Linked DNA regions of Bombyx mori. The protein of the gene in region 1 interacts with the protein of each later gene in a pairwise test. Links are inferred from orthologs where the notes say so. Each region holds a gene or a part of one and is shown on either strand. Other genes may lie near its edges. The genes, in order: DNA replication complex GINS protein SLD5 and DNA replication complex GINS protein PSF1.

Region 1 (4,559 bases):
AAATTTAATTGTAAACAATACAGTAAAACTTGTGGCTGTTATTAACAAGTTAACATTTAGTATAGTGAAAATCATGAACAGGTAATCTTCCACAGAGCAGTAATTATTTCTTGTGAAGCCAGTAGTCCAAATGTTGTTTGAAACTTTTATATATCTTAGATTTTTCTTGTATTTTTTTTTGCATGGTTTCAGTTTTTGCTCAATTTTTGTCCTATGATAGCTACTGCTATTTCAGATTTAAAATTCTATGACATTCCCTAGTTTTCTGAGGAAATGCATAAACTTAGTATTTATATAGATAGCATTACTGCAATTACAAACCTACGAAATTAATAAATTTGACTTTACTGGTGTAAGTATATGGTTGGGCTACATACCTACAATAAAATTTAGACTTTAAATTGAAATGTTAAGGTAATTACAAGCATTTTTACATTACAGCTTTATCATTTAACATCTTACTTACACTTTCACTAGTGGTACGGTGTCTTGTGAGCCTGCATGATGTGTACCACCACCCTGCCTATTTCTGCCATGAAGCAGTAATGCGTTTTGGTTTAAGAGTTGGGGCAGCCATTAACTGAGTCATAAAACGGAGACTTAGAACTCTTGCCTCAAGGTTTTAATTAAAAAAAATAATAATTTTAATTATAGCACAACTTTGCACTTTAGATTAGTTTAAAAGTATAAGATTTTAACTCCTATGGTAAATATCATTCACTGTGTTTGATTTTTTTTTATTTCTGAGATTGCTACATAATGTATGTTCAGAAGTGTTGTATGTGTCAGACATACACAATGTTAAATGTTCACCAAAATCTATAAATACTATAAAAAGTGAATACCTCCTGAGATATGAGGTCTAAGTCTCCATTGTCTAGTATGGGGACTGTCCCCATTCTTCAAACTTCATGACTGCTTTATGGCAGAGACTAATTAATTGGTGACACATTCCCATATGGCCTACCACCAATAATTATGGGATATTATTTTTATTTTGGCAAGTTTATTGTTTCCATAGTGTTATTTCTTTTTTGTGGATTAATCAAACAGAATTAGATTCAATTTAAGACATATATAATCAAATCATTCAATATACCATAATATTATTATTTAAGTCATGATAACTTCAATGATATAGGTGATATCCTGTGGTACAATAGTCAAGGTCATTAAACCAACAAGGGTATTGCTCTATCTATCAAAGTATAACAAAAGAAAACCTATAATGTGTTTCAGTTGTGAGAAAATCAATAACAAACCTTCTAAGTCAATTTCTTCATCTTCACCAGTCAAGTCTTCTAATACAACCCCATTAATGGTTTCATTGGCTTTAAGGAATACATGCGTTTGTAAATTAGGATGTTCTGCCATTTTGTTCATTTCAAAGACTTGCATATTACCAGGCATTTTATTTAATACCACATTTTTCATATGATTTTCCATGTTCAAAACATATTCTTGAGCATATTTATATTCTGATGGTGTTAGGTAATTAGTATCAGTTTCTATTCTTTGTCTTTCTTGGTTTAGTATTGGAATGCAATATTTTTCAATCTTATTCAGTCTAGTTTTAAGATAATTACAAATAATAAATTTAATTCTGCTAATCTCCATTTTGTGTATAGAAGTTCTCAAATCAGTTTTTGAAAGTTTATTTATGTTTCTTTCCATGTGTTGTATTTGACCTAACATACATTCTACCATGTCATTTTGATGAGGGAGTATTTCTGGGGACAATCTTTCATTTTGCCAAGCACTTTGTAGTGTTTTTAAAACAGTCTCAGCTGTTACTTCTTCTTCATCATCACTGAACTGCAACTCTTCGGTTGACTCCATATTCTTCTAAATTATATATACCCACAGAATTCTAGTGCAACTTTAGATTGTCACTGAATGATATTATTCTAGCTTTCACGACTCGAATTTGAGTTCTGGTGTTTTTTAGGTTCTAAAGAGCTTTTTTTACCAATTCATTATAAATTTAAAGAGTATATAATCGCATTCATGTTTCACTACATTACAATCATAGTTTTTTTTTCTTTTATCTTTTTCTTTTATTAAAATTTTCTGTATTTTTGTCTTGCTTTCTGTACTAAACAAATTGTTACTTTATGACATACCTCAATTGTCATTAATTTTTTTTTTCTTCTGAATAGCACGGGATTTTATTTCTACTACCTTTATTGAAATAATAAGTTTATGGTAAAATAATGTAATTTTTTTTCTCACAGATTTTTTTGCTTACTATTTGTTTAAAACTTTGTTGGTTTGAACTAGAGATGGCGTTAACGGTTGAATTTATTTATCTGTTAACTGGTAATTGATAAAAAAAATTACCGATATTTTTATTGGTTGAAAATACCGGTAAATCTTTTCGTTGAAAAATTAATTTTGCTAATGTTAAACTTGAATGGTACTAGCACTTTTCGAAATGATCCCATATTTCTGCATTGCGTTTCGGCATTTTAAATTAGATATACAATTTAAAAATCCACAACAACAAAGTAAGCAAAGTCTCAAACACACAAAAACAAAGTCAAAACACACAAACACAAAGTACAAATCTCTTAAAATACAAAAACACAACTTTACCAAAATAATAGAAAAGATGCACTGAGCCACCAAAATGTCAAGTACCAAACAAAATATTACGTTTAAAAAATCAACCAATCACGTCATCTTCGCGTTCGGTAAAAATATCGTTTCATTTCAATTTTTTAACGAAAAAAATTATCATTAACTGTAAAATACACCAACTTAAATATTGTGCTTTATTTTGAGGGGTATAGAGCATACAATGAAATCATAAAATTCAATATTTTTTACATGATAAGTTGAAGACATCTGCAAGGCGAAAATGAATCTTACGTGTTGAAATAAAGTTGAAACTTGCATAAATATAATTTCCAATAATTGCCTATGCCACTACACGCAGTGTGTTTGGTAAACGGTATTTTTAACCGTTTTGGGTAATTTTATTTATCGAATAGAAGTGTTAATTTTTTTTACCGGTAAATTTATTGGTTATTGGTTATATTAGCCACCTCTAGTTTGAACCAATGTTTTATCTATTTCTATCATAAGTAATACTACGAAGAGTGAGTGAGCAGCTATGAGTCTCGATGATATTTAATATCAAGTTCGATTTCTACAAATGATAATGTTCCTGTATGTTAAGTATGTTTCTCCACTGTGTTCTTGAACAAAGTTTAGTAGTGAAGGAATAACATCGAACGCTGTAATAAAATTAGTATAAGCCGCCATACCATCTTGTTTATTTCTTGTGCAAACCAATCATCATCCTGGTTTGAAGGGTTGAATGGTTAATATTTTTAAATATTTTTTTATTGCTTCATGTTGTGGAAGTCTCAGTAGTAATGGGTGCTCGAGCCATCCTAGTAGGCTTACAGCAAGCCTTATCTTACTAGTAAAATTAGGGATGAAGAGCAAGAAAACGAAAAAAGTCGATATTCAGAAGAGAAAAGCCAGTGCTGACACTATGAAAGAGTGCGTCGCCTCCCACTTAAAACTACATATTATTTTCAAAACTCGTCTGAATATAGCTTTCAGAAATACTTTGCTATAGAGTTCATCCTAGAATTATTTCTAGAAATGAGCTGTGGATGGAACAATGAACTCTACTTCGGACATTACTACTGAAAGTTGTTGTACATGTGCTTGGTACAAGCACACTGACCATCCCGTAAATACATTTACATTATTCATTCTAAATTTTACTTAAAATAGAGCCGTGGGCCGCGGGACACACCTAGTTTGTTTTAAACAATTAATTGCAGTTTTTGTATCGAATAATGTACGTACGTACTAGCGAAGACATTTAATCTTGTTAGCCACATAAACCTGCTTCTTTGAAGTCGCATAACTACATTACCTCAGTAATACAGAGCTGTACTTACAAATATCTGTACTTACAAATAGCTGTACTTTGCAAATATCAACCGTACTATAACGGCGGCACTTAAACATAGTTTATTTTATAAATAACTAAATTTATTACTAAATTTCAAAATTCTGCTGACCGTTTCCTTGAAATTAGTCCACATTAAGCACTTTGCATCTTAAAATTTAGTTTTTTCGTTCCAAAATTTACGTATGTGCTCCATTGCTGCTCTTTTTGGAATCACCCAGATCTTTTGACACAAGTAGACTTTAATCAAAAATGGCTTAGAATCGATTCTTAATATGCAGCTAAACGAGCTAACTTGGACCCATGCATCCCTACCCATCCGTTTTGGTGGTTTAGGGACTCGCAAAATTTCTCGTGTCGCTTTACCAGCCTTCCTATCTTTTGTCCATAGTTCAGCAAATCTCATAAGTAAAAAACTTTGAGATTGCTGGCTTGGAAGAAGCTAGAAACGCTTTCTTAATTGGATGCCCACGTCAAAATTTTCCAGTTTCTCTAAATTCACAGAAGAGCTGGGACGACATAAACTGCAAATTGACATATGACAATCTTTTGAGCTGTAGTACAGGTTCGGCGCGTGCTAGGCTTTTGGCTGTGGGTGCGCACGAGGCCGGCTACTGGATTCACGCGT
Region 2 (3,893 bases), on another chromosome or scaffold:
TTTAACATTTATCCAACCTTAACCAGTACGTAAAACAGTCACTTAATCACACAATGTAACAAGGATATAGTAAGTGCACCGAGCAAACGCAGTCGGCCGGGGCACCTGGCTTATCTATGAGTCACTCCTGTTGCACGTGCTGTTTTACGAGTGGAGTGACACGGCCGGCGCACCTGGCTTGTGTATGACTCACTCCTATTGCACGTGCTGTATAACAGAAGTAACGTTAACGCCGTCATAGATATGTTACTGCTTATTATTTCTGTGTGTTAACACAACGTAACGACATTGGGAATGTCGTTGGTGTAGAGAGCGTAGAGGATCGGTGACAGGATACCTCCTTGGGGAACCCCAGCTGTGGCTGGGCGCATCCACGATTTAGCGCTCTTGACCGCGACAAAAAGAGTTCTGCCCTCCAGGTACGACCCCAGTAGTCGCACGTAGGCGTGCTGGAAGTCCGTGTTCTGCACCAACTTGCAGATAAGCCCCGCACGCCAGACACGGTTGAAGGCCTTCTCGAAATCGAGAAATACTGCCGCCATGTACTGGCGTGCGTTGGACCGTCAAAAGGTGCATAACGCAGACCAATTGCAGCGTTGTTGAGTGACTGCTACGTATCCAGAATTGCTCGGGTCTGAGAAGGATGTGCGGAGACACTCTTCTCACCAGCAGCCGCTCGAACAACTTGCCCACATACGACAACAGGGTAATCGGACGATAATTGGAGGGCTGTCTTCTGTCCTTCTAAATTCCCGGGAAATATCCTGTAGACAGAATGTAATTAAACAGCCGTGTCTTAAAAGACACGACTGATTCTAGAAAGTGGAAAAATGCAAGGGTGAGAATACCGTCCTCACACAATGCCTTGCGCCTCTTTATCCGCTTGATAAGGAGGCGCAATTCAGCGGGAATGATGAAATCATCATGTCCCAGAGGTGGCACCGGGAGGTTAGTTTGCACGTCGAACACTTTGTTGAGTTCGACGAGTACGGTTATCAGGGTCCCTAAGTCTGCTCCTAATGTTAAAGTTGAAAGCGTCTTTGCAAGAGTAATTGGATCTGATGGTCGACCCGATAAGGAGAGTGAGATTATTATTGGCTGTATTGCTACTAAGTGATTATCTGTAAAAAGTTACTTGTATGACTTAGCTCCCACTTCTAGAAAATTTTAATATCTTAAGATTAGGTTTTGGTATTATAGATTTAAAGATCAAGGCTTCTGTGATTTTCGAACTCATCCAAAAATGATGCGTATCCGATCATAAAATGTCAAATTTACTATCTGTCACAGTCTTGAGCTGTCACTCATCAAATTAATAACAACTTTCGCGCCAATGCCAAAAATGTTTTTATCTAAATTATTAAAGTATTTTGTTTGTTATCTCTCTCATTGTTAAGTAAATAAGTAACACACAATGTTCGCAGAAAAAGTTATAGAACTAATTAAAGAAGTAGATAGAAATCCTGACACAATAGATCAATATAATGTAAGTTGGATGTGCCCATCTAGGTATGGGATTGGAATTAGAATAAACTTGTTATATCTAATGAAAGCTTTAAGTTACTATTTAATACCGAAACCAAGATTTTATCCGGTTGTCATCTATTCTGTTTGTCTATGCATATGCACTATAAAGTCAGAAATCCATTTAGAAGTGACAAGTATATTAAATTATTGTTATAGCACCGCCTATTATTATTTTTGTGTCTTTTAATCTTATAAAGTACATAGTATTTCACATGTTACAGGATGAAAAAATACGCCAAATAATAGAAGAAATGCATTTATTATTTAAATTGAACATGAATGATGCGTAAGTCACTGGTTTTCTACTAATATAACTGCAAGTAGTTATTGTTCAATATGCAAGATTTGCTATGATCACTTCTATTCTGTAACCTCCTATTCTGTTTCATGTGATGCAAAAGTGCTCAGGTAACCTTGTAACTCCAGGAAGGTCTATTTTTGTTTTTTTTTGTCAATCTATTGCTACTAACCTCGAGGGGTTATGCTAGCTTCATGGGATTTGAGGTAGCCCTGAGATCTCTCACCCAATTATGCAAAAAAAAGTTTTATGACTTTTTTGTTTTATAACTCTTCACATTCAAGCAGTTTGGATAACTTGCCCAGCAGATTTGATAGCTTTACTGGTTGTGCTTGAGTAGCACAGATATCTCACCCAGCAGATTTGTTACAGCACTACGGTTATGTATCTGCTTAAAAATACTTTAGTGGACAGGCTTGGCTTCAATTTCTAACCAAATCTTAGCTCAGCTTATTGAGTTTTTTTACAGTGTAGTTGTTTTTTAATAATAGTACTAATTATTGTTTTTGGTATATAAAAAAAATAGAGAAATGTGTGTTTGTTTGTTGATCTTAAAGTACTTTTAAAATGTTTCTCTAATTTGGCCAAAATCGGTCTGAGTTGCTGGTCCGCACAAACGAAAACGTCATTTAGTGCAAAGGGGTTAATATTTTCATGCACTTGAGTCTCATGTGGTGTTGTAATAAGGTTACCTGCTATTAGTCCATTTTAATTTAAATTTCAAAAATATGTAGTTCAATTGCTCATCAAGTTCATTTATAGAAGAAGAAGATAACAACAAACTGTTTTATGATTACCGCTTGTATTAATTGAATTACTATTTTTAGTAATGCTACAACAGAAAACAGATCATTGTGGACCACAGTTCAAGTAAGACATTCTGCCCTTGAACGCAATAAAAGGTGTATATTAGCCTATCTCTACAACAGAATGAAAAAAATTAAGACATTACGTTGGGAATTTGGTGCAGTACTACCTCCAGATATCAGAGAATTGCTTTCTGATGATGAATATCAATGGTTTTCAAAATACTCTGGAAATCTTGCTTTGTATATGAGATCTTTAGGCCAAGATATAGGATACAGTGGCATAGACTTGACTGAAAATTTAAAGCCCCCTAAATCATTGTTCATCGAAGTGCTTTGTGTTGTGGATTATGGTAAATTAGAACTTGAAGATGGTGATGTGGTTATGCTTAAGAAGAATAGCAGACATTATCTTCCTACTTCGGAATGTCAGACTTTAATACGACAGGGTATTCTGAAACAAATAATGTGAATTTATTTTATCAATAGTGAATTTTTGACCATTTTATGTTTTAAATAATATTGTGAAAAATAATGTTTGATGTCTGTATGGAAATAAATTTTATGAGAAGATTATTTTTACCATAAGCTTAGTGATTTGACTTGATTAGATTTGCACCTCCTAATAAAGCAAGTGTGTGTCCATTTTTTTTACTATCCCTGATGGGTGAAAGAGCAGTCATAGTGGCCTAAAGAATATAATGCTTGCTGTAGTCAAATCAAATGATGCAACAATCAATATCATCATCAGCCCCGAGGTCTCCTAATATCAGACTTCAGACTTAGAACTTTTGTTTAGGTGTGTGGCAGCATTTGCGTTTTTGATATTTACGTGCCCTGTTAATGAGCTGGCATTGAAAAAAACTATTTTCTCAAAAAAGATACAGCGCAGTTTTTTTTTTTTTTTTTTCCTACCTATGATGGTAGCCTTGAGGGCTCAAACCTGATGACGTTGCTAACACGAACCCTAGCAAGAGCCGTGCTTCGCAGAATCTACCACCGGATCGGAAACGCGACCCACTGAGAAGATACGGCGAGAAACTCAGTGGGCTGTGTCTGGGAGTTAATTTACTCGTCGAGCCCTTCGACGGGTTCGACGAGAACGGTGACCGGTGCTTGAAGTACCTAAAAGCACCGTTAGTGGATCGGGACGATCCGAGATGACGTGTTTTGGGCGACGTCGACTGCTTTCCATTCTGTCCGCAGGATCGGGAATGTAGTTACTGGCGGCCACGATGAGAGGGTTCTCGTGTCGTGCCGCT

Evidence for each region.
Region 2: the proteins of DNA replication complex GINS protein SLD5 (region 1) and DNA replication complex GINS protein PSF1 interact in a two-hybrid assay, tested with the Drosophila melanogaster proteins (2 studies listed by BioGRID). The link is inferred for Bombyx mori from reciprocal best matches to the Drosophila melanogaster genes Sld5 and Psf1.

Annotation. Positions count from the first base shown.
Region 1 is NC_085121.1:9,245,289-9,249,847, reverse strand, and holds the start of DNA replication complex GINS protein SLD5, read right to left. Parts: upstream 3,037-4,559; 5' UTR 1,840-3,036; coding exon 1,263-1,839; intron 581-1,262; coding exon of another isoform or gene 558-580; exon of another isoform or gene 1-557. Other genes in the region: opsin-1, read left to right, coding at 3,174-3,180.
Region 2 is NC_085118.1:17,160,881-17,164,773, reverse strand, and holds DNA replication complex GINS protein PSF1, read left to right. Parts: upstream 1-1,284; 5' UTR 1,285-1,414; coding exon 1,415-1,486; intron 1,487-1,748; coding exon 1,749-1,813; intron 1,814-2,652; coding exon 2,653-3,103; 3' UTR 3,104-3,219; downstream 3,220-3,893.